Linked DNA regions of Cricetulus griseus. The protein of the gene in region 2 purifies or fractionates together with the protein of the main gene of each other region. This does not show direct contact. Links are inferred from orthologs where the notes say so. Each region holds a gene or a part of one and is shown on either strand. Other genes may lie near its edges.

Region 1 (4,530 bases), on a different chromosome or scaffold from region 2:
TTAAAATACTTAAATGTTGGAATATGAAAAGCATCTGTCTCTAATAACCATTAATGTTCGAGTCTGGTTTCTCATCTTTAATAATACAATGACTGATATTGTGATTTTTGCTCTGATACCTTCTTAGGCACTGTGATTTTGTTCTTCCTTTTCCATATAGGAAGTAATCCCTTGGATGTCCCTTTTCACAGATAGCCCACACTTTACAGCAAGTCAGGGAATGCTCACCCCAACTCTTATACCAAATAGCCTCCCAGAATGTTCCTGGACTGGCAAGAATTTCTCAAGATCAGTCTCATTTAAACAGGGCTCTTGTATCAAATAGGTTGGATTGCTGCTAGAGCACCTTGGAAAAACAATGCTGGTCTACTAGCCTCTACAACATGTTTTAAGTAAGCTCTCTATATACCGATTTTGGAAAATCTTGAACAACAACAAAAAAAGAGAAAGATATAACAGGATATATGCTATTTAGTAAAAAAAGAAAAAAACCAAAACAGGAAGTAGAAGAACATAAGCATATTTTTAGTTTGCATACAAGAAAATGCTAGAAAGATTTAAAGACAGCGATAACGTCAAATTCAGAGAATAGAGAGTTATGGCAAATTATACACTTATTGCAAATCACAATTAAAATTTGCAATTAGAGAACTGTGTTTTAATAAATAAAAAAAGTCATAAAAGGGAAATCCAAGAGAAGGGAAATGCAAACCCAAGCAGTGCTGGTAACATTATTTTGGAAACATTGAGTTGAATATTCTAATAAATATTATCATTATTCAATAGAGAATAAGGTTTTGTGTGCAAATTCTCTAAGCTTATTAATTTTCCATAAGACAATGAAGGACAAGGTTTATACACTCAGGAGAAAAACAGTGGGCAAAGTAAACTATAACATGCTTAATTATTGGGAAATTGTGCAACCATTTAAAAAGTATTTAGGAAACAAAACCATGAATAAAGTCTTTATGATGGCTTTCCCTCTCCCTCCAAGTCTTCAAGAGGTATCATTAGGACCAAACTTTAGTAACAAGTTAAATGCCACGTGTTTTAAATGCTTAAAAACACTTACAACTCCTATTTTAAGTGAGGCATTTATTGAGTGTGATGTAAATTGTAAAACTTTTTTTTTTAATTAAATGATACAATGACTTATTCTGCCAGGTTTCTCCTCAGTTTTTAACAAAGGCTGCGTTTCGTGGCTGTTCTGGCACAAGCGAAGAAGCGTAAATCTTAGAAAGAATGCGCTCTTGGAAAGTGGTAAGAAAACCTCACGCAGCAAGCATGCATGCACGCCTGCGCACTCCTGCAAGCTTGCAAGAAGGGGGCCCCCTCCAGGGCCTCGCTGGGGGAGCGCAACCCCGCCCCCAGCCCGCCCGCGCCCTTCCCCCATCCGCCCGCCCCCTTGCCAGGCCAGCCGCGCAGGCGCAGTAGCTGTGCAGCCGCTCCTAACCCGGGGGATCCTGGGATTCGGCCTTTCCGGAAGGACGAGCTAGGTGTTCGGTCTAGGCCGCCGTTCCAGCCCTAAACCAGAGTTCCAGGTCCTGCTCCCAGCCGAGCCGGTGGCCGAGGAGACGCTACGCGGACCTCCGAGGGCGTAGCGGCGACTGGCGGAGGTGCGGAGCCCGGCGGGCGGTGGCGGCGGTGCGCAGGCCGTGACGGCCCCTCCCCCGCCCCGAGAGCAGCTGCAGAGGACGACAGCGCGGGCCCGCCGCGGTGAAGCGGTCGCTGAACTGCCTCAGGTTATGACTCACCGGCTTTACTGTCACATTTGAGGTCCGCCGGCCGCGTTGCGTGATCCTGCCGCAGGGCGGGCGTGGGTGTGCGCGGAGCGGAGCGGAGCGGGGCTGCGGCGACTGATCGCCCTTGGTTCGTTCTGCGGCCCTGAGTTTGCTCAGAGCGTTCTCTTTGTAACGTCTGCGGCCTGTGGCTCGCTGCGAACGCAGGGCTCTCACATGAAGGTGTCTCTCGGTACCGGCGGCGAGATGGGCGTCTCTGCCCACCTGCAGCCCTGCAAGGCAGGAACGACGCGGTTTTTTACCAGCAATACCCACAGCTCGGTGGTGTTGCAAGGCTTTGATCAGCTCAGACTCGAGGGCCTGCTTTGTGACGTGACTCTGGTACCTGGTGATGGCGATGAGATCTTCCCGGTTCATAGAGCCATGATGGCGTCTGCTAGCGATTATTTCAAGGCCATGTTCACAGGCGGAATGAAAGAACAAGATTTAATGTGCATTAAACTTCATGGGGTGAACAAAGTTGGCCTGAAGAAAATCATTGATTTTATTTATACCGCAAAATTGTCCCTTAACATGGACAATCTTCAGGACACCCTTGAAGCTGCCAGCTTTCTACAAATCTTACCAGTTTTGGACTTTTGTAAAGTATTTCTTATATCAGGCGTCTCTTTAGATAACTGTGTTGAGGTCGGACGGATTGCTAACACCTACAATCTTATAGAAGTGGATAAATATGTAAATAATTTCATCCTGAAGAACTTTCCTGCATTGCTGAGTACTGGGGAGTTCCTAAAACTCCCCTTTGAACGGCTTGCCTTTGTGCTTTCCAGCAATAGTCTCAAGCACTGTTCCGAACTTGAACTTTTCAAGGCAGCCTGCCGCTGGTTGAGGCTGGAAGACCCTCGGATGGACTATGCTGCAAAATTAATGAAGAATATTCGATTTCCACTGATGACACCACAGGACCTCATCAACTATGTGCAGACAGTAGATTTCATGAGAACAGACAATACCTGTGTGAATTTACTTTTGGAAGCAAGCAATTACCAAATGATGCCATATATGCAGCCAGTGATGCAGTCAGACAGAACTGCCATTCGCTCTGATTCCACTCACCTTGTTACCTTAGGAGGCGTTCTGAGGCAGCAGCTAGTGGTCAGTAAAGAATTGAGGATGTACGATGAAAGGGCACAGGAGTGGAAGTCCTTAGCCCCCATGGATGCTCCTCGATACCAGCATGGCATTGCTGTTATTGGAAATTTCCTTTATGTAGTTGGTGGTCAGAGTAATTATGATACAAAAGGAAAAACTGCTGTTGATACAGTTTTCAGATTTGACCCTCGGTATAATAAATGGATGCAGGTGGCATCATTAAATGAAAAGCGCACATTCTTTCACCTGAGTGCCCTTAAAGGACATTTGTATGCAGTTGGTGGGCGCAGTGCAGCTGGTGAACTGGCCACAGTAGAATGTTACAACCCAAGAATGAACGAATGGAGCTATGTTGCGAAAATGAGTGAACCCCACTATGGTCATGCCGGAACAGTGTATGGGGGTCTAATGTATATTTCAGGAGGAATTACTCATGACACTTTCCAAAATGAGCTCATGTGTTTTGACCCAGATACAGACAAATGGACACAGAAGGCTCCTATGACTACAGTCCGAGGCCTGCACTGCATGTGTACAGTTGGAGACAAGCTGTATGTGATTGGTGGCAACCACTTCAGAGGAACAAGTGATTATGATGATGTTCTCAGCTGCGAATATTATTCACCAACTCTTGACCAGTGGACTCCAATTGCTGCTATGCTGAGAGGTCAGAGTGATGTTGGAGTTGCTGTTTTTGAAAACAAAATCTATGTTGTTGGTGGATATTCTTGGAATAACCGTTGCATGGTAGAAATTGTCCAGAAGTACGACCCGGAAAAAGATGAGTGGCATAAAGTTTTTGATCTTCCAGAGTCACTTGGCGGCATTCGGGCTTGTACTCTCACAGTTTTTCCGCCTGAAGAAAACCCTGGGTCACCTTCAAGAGAATCGCCTCTTTCAGCACCTTCAGATCATTCTTAGATACAAGGTGTAATACCTTTTCAGTGTATTCATGGATGATCTCCCTTCCCCTTCAATTGTCTCTTATTACTCTCTACAGTTAATAGACAAAAAGGTAACTTAGGGTTTTTTGTTTTGCTTAATATGTTATTAAATGGCTACCAAGTACATTCTGAAAAAAATGTGTTTTAACACATATTTAGCTGTTTTAACAAGTGAAAGATATATGAAAAATTAGATATCTTTTGTGGTGTTACATATGTCAAATTGTAGGTGATCATAGTGAATGTGTAATTGTCTATTATGCTACAAAGTTGAAAGTTTTGATTTGACTAAAACAGTAAAATGAAGGTCCCCCTGTTATAAACTAAAATAATAAAAGATTGCCAAGGTACAGCTACCTCCCTCTTGGATAGTTTTTGACAATTTGTTAACTAGGCTATGTGATTACTCTTAGAATATATGAAGTTTCTTAGGTAGAAGTAGTAGTACAAATATTAACTAGAAGTAACAGTAAGTCAAGATTTGTTATCTTACTGGAGAAAAGAAAATTTTGACGTGTATACATAAGACATAATATGTGCTCACACAAAAATTCATGTGTACATACATATAAGCTTTTAGAACTGATAGAAACTTCATCGGTAGTGAAAATGAGCTAATGTTTTCTTCCGCAAAGCAGCTCCTTTTATTTCAATGAAAATTCAATACCAGAGAGTTAGTGTCTAACGTGCTAAGC
Region 2 (3,815 bases):
ATTAAAGAAGTCAAATGACAGAAGAGGTATAGTACCACTTCAAAATTAAAATGCTTCAAAATACAAAGCATTGGTGGCATTAGAAGCACAATTTAAAATTCTGGCAAATTTAGAAAACTTCAAGTTTACACCATAAATGGGCATCAATACAGAGCACATTGGTAACTGTGACTGCCAATGTGCATAGCAGATGGAGGCTGATAGAAGAACCTGGCCCCATTTCCATTCTCTCTCTCTCTCTGTTAGTTAGGACTGGCAATCCTAGAGAAGTGACCTCAAACACCCATGAAACCCCTGCATATGAGTATTGGTTGGTTATGTGGTTAACGTGCTATATCAGGAAACACAAGGCCATGGATCTCTCTGTCTAGTTCTGTCTCTTTGTTCAATAAAAGAAGGTGCTAAAGATATTTTACATGGAACCCTAGAGTGCCGTACACTAAAGATATATCTCCAAGGCATTTCAAGCCTACAAAAGAGCTAAGACTTCAGCATCAACACCAGGCAGGTAGTGGGACATGCTAGAGTTAACACAGCCCAAACATCTACAGGGCTGTATCATGATTATCCATAGCTAGAGGCTTCCTTGGCCATCCTGATTAGTTCAGCTCTGGTGAGGGAATCACACTGGATTCCACCCATGCACTCTTGCTGGGGCACCTCATCTGGGCAAGTACACTCATTTCCTCTGTGGTCCTTGACAGGTCCGTGGCAAGTTCACAGCACAATCAATTTAAACTCAAGACAAAGCTCTTTCCATTAGACTATAGCATCTTCAGGGTTTTTCTTAGGGTCCTTCTTAGCTGGGTTGTTGTTCAGTCTCCTCAGTTTCTCAGTGCTGGGTCATAACCAGCTGTGTGGAAGCTGCACATCAGCTACGGACAAGTCTTCTATGCACAGTTGTAAGGACCTCCTGTTCCACACTCAGGGTTCTGCAATGTCTTGTGGGCAGAGGGTAGTCTTCATAGAAAGCCAAATCAGGACACCCCCAAATCCTCGTCTTTGTAGTGAGACAGCTTCCTAGCAGCAGGTCACACATGGGATGCTACATTAAGTGTGTATGTTCACAGTGCACATACATGATGTTTAGCCCTGTTATCTTTTGACCCTTTTGCTAGCCTGTTTCAAACTGGCAGTGAGGATCCTGGAGACCAGAACTTTCAGAGAGCTGCCTTGGTTTACTGGAGATAAGTACAGTCTTGGAGTACAGACCTGCTGGCTGGGAGGTAGCCATCAGAACAAGGAGGCCTAAGACCTACAGGGATGGAAACAAAGCAGCCAGTCCCTGCAGAGGGCCATTGTTGAGACTGAAAATCAAGGTTGAACTGTTCTCTGGATAAGATCAAAGAGGCTGGCCTCTTAACAACTTGAAGACGGTTTATATGCCTGCCCTCAACTGATGCAGACTAAATATTTTCCATCTGTCCTTGAGGAAGGTGTCAGTAGGCCATGCCAGAGGGCATCAGCACCACAGGAAGAAAGGAGGGCTGTGTATGCATGAAAACAATGAGTGCAAGGATCAAGGGGAAGGAAGAAGACAGGGAGACAGGGAGCAAAGAACCTGACACATCATGCAGATCCTGAACTGCTAACTCCCAGACAAGCGCCGCTGAGGATGTTGACTTGCGTGTACTGCAAGGGATGTGATCCCAGGGGCCCTAAGAATAAGAGGTGCAAACAGTTGTAGAACCTTCTAGCTTTTCTAATATCTCATAGTTACAGTCTATAGAAGACTTGACTGAGGTTTGGCTAATGCACAAAGGCAGTTCAAACCACAATCAATATCCAGTGCTTCTCTACAACAAAGACTCAGTCACGGCATCTGGGGAAGGTATAAAGAGTCACTCATCCTTGGTCTCTCCATTCTGCACCACAAACTTGTCAGCTGTACTTGGCAGCTCCTCCTCCTGCCTCACTCAGGATGACGGTATCTGCATTCACTGCTCCACTCAAAACAGACTCTTCCCTGGCAGTCACCTTACATACACATCTGAGTCCTTTTGTGGACAAAGTTCTGACCCTTACACAGGAGTGAGCAGATCCATAAGGCAAAGGGTCATAGATAGACTTTCTGTCCAGTGGACACAGGCCAACAGGACCAGATTACACTGTAACCAAGTAGGTCTGGCTATCTCTGCTAAAGTAAGGGCTCCAAGCTTCCTAGCTGCTGCCTAAGGACCTCTGTGTTACATGGACCCAAAAAGACGTCCTTCTCACCCCACTTGGGACCAGGACAGATAAGTAAACCCCAGACCCACTGTTAAAGCTGCTATGAGGTACAGTACATACCAAGACATCAAAAACTCAACCTCTTCATTGTGAAAACCAGATCATCTAACCAGGCTGCTATGCAGGGCCTACAGTCAGTCAACCTACCCTGCCCATCACAGGATATGCTCGTGATATGTCCTGGTATGGCCTGGGGGAAGAGGTAAAGATACCAGTACTGCCTCCAAAGGCTTCTTGACCTTACTCACAGGAAACATGTCCATGAAAACAGACTACAGTGGCTAATGAAGCAACATGGTGTATCAAAGACCACTGCTACTCTGAAGGGAAGGATGGGACAATTCACACAGACCAAGAAGTGAGGCTCCTTCAGAGACAACAGGGAACACACATGAACTTCTCTAGAGTCCTGAGGGCTGCTTTCTGTAGAAAGCCTACACCCAGTTGCTGATCCCTCTCTAAGCCACGCCTGATCTATACACATACAAGCTTAGGTACCATGTGGCTGGGCATGTGACAGTGAAAAGAACCTGAGGCAAAAGCCTTTTCTCCGTAAGTAGCTACTCTCAGGGTTCCTATGAGGAAGAACAAATGTGTTTATCTAAGTAATCACTCTCTGGCACCAGCAGCCTGTCCCTGGGCACTATGCAGGTCAGAGCCTTTGCTCTCCCACAAGCTGCGGAGCTCACACTTGTTACAGCCCCAGCCCCAGCACTTTACTTCATCAACCTACTGACTTGCTCTGCATTGGTTCTTGTAGTCAGAACCTAAGCAGGCCCTGCAGCCTGGCCGTCCCTCCTTCCATCAATGGGGCTTTTAGGCTCCATGGGAAGCCGACACTAAACAGTTCTAGGCTATGGTGTAGTTAGGGCACATGTAGAGAAATTCTCAAGGCTGTGATGCCAGAGCTTGCAGCTCAGGTATGAGTTGTGGCTGAGTAGCAGTATGTACCTACCCTCAGGTAAGGAAGAGATGAAGGAGCAGTGGGGCTTTCCTAGGTAGGACATCGTAGAACTGCAGCAGAGACTAAGTCAGGACTAGCCTATCTTCATGCCTTCTTCCCCACCAGCATGACCCACCCGCCTGCTGATGGTACAAGAGAGCCATGATGCTCATACCAGCTCATGGCTCTGGGGCTTGCCCTGCAGCTTCTGATGGTAGTCAAAGGTGAGTCTGTCCAGGACTGCCTGTTCCTCCTCATCCACAGTGGCCATGGAGCGCTCCTTGTTAATCTTGTCAATGTCGATAGGCTCTTCTCCCTCTAGGATCGCACTCCACCAGTACTCGCCAACCTTGCTCAGGTTCACCTGGGACAAGCAGGAAAAAAAAATTGTATCAAGTATGGCAGGAAACAGCCCAAACCACTAGGGAAAGAATACTTAGCACTGTAAACAGGGCAGACTAAGGGACAGGCATACTGTACCGGGGACAGAACAAGGTATGAGAGGGGCAGATATCCCAGGTTGAGCTTAAGACCTGCACAAAGGCAAGGTGGCTATATGAGTAGACATGAGATCATCACACACAGGAACCTCTGAGCCAGAAGTCATGTTGACACTTAAGGAGTCCTGTATCCTATAGATCTT

Evidence for each region.
Region 1: the proteins of Nudcd3 (region 2) and Klhl9 purify together in Homo sapiens (co-immunoprecipitation; 3 studies listed by BioGRID and IntAct, with this or other methods). This does not show direct contact. The link is inferred for Cricetulus griseus from reciprocal best matches to the Homo sapiens genes NUDCD3 and KLHL9.

What each region holds. Positions count from the first base shown.
Region 1 is NC_048595.1:59,402,055-59,406,584, reverse strand, and holds the start of Klhl9 (kelch-like protein 9), read left to right. Parts: upstream 1-1,432; 5' UTR 1,433-1,955; coding exon 1,956-3,812; 3' UTR 3,813-4,530.
Region 2 is NW_023276807.1:98,741,563-98,745,377, reverse strand, and holds part of Nudcd3 (nudC domain-containing protein 3), read right to left. Parts: intron 3,537-3,815; coding exon 3,348-3,536; intron 1-3,347.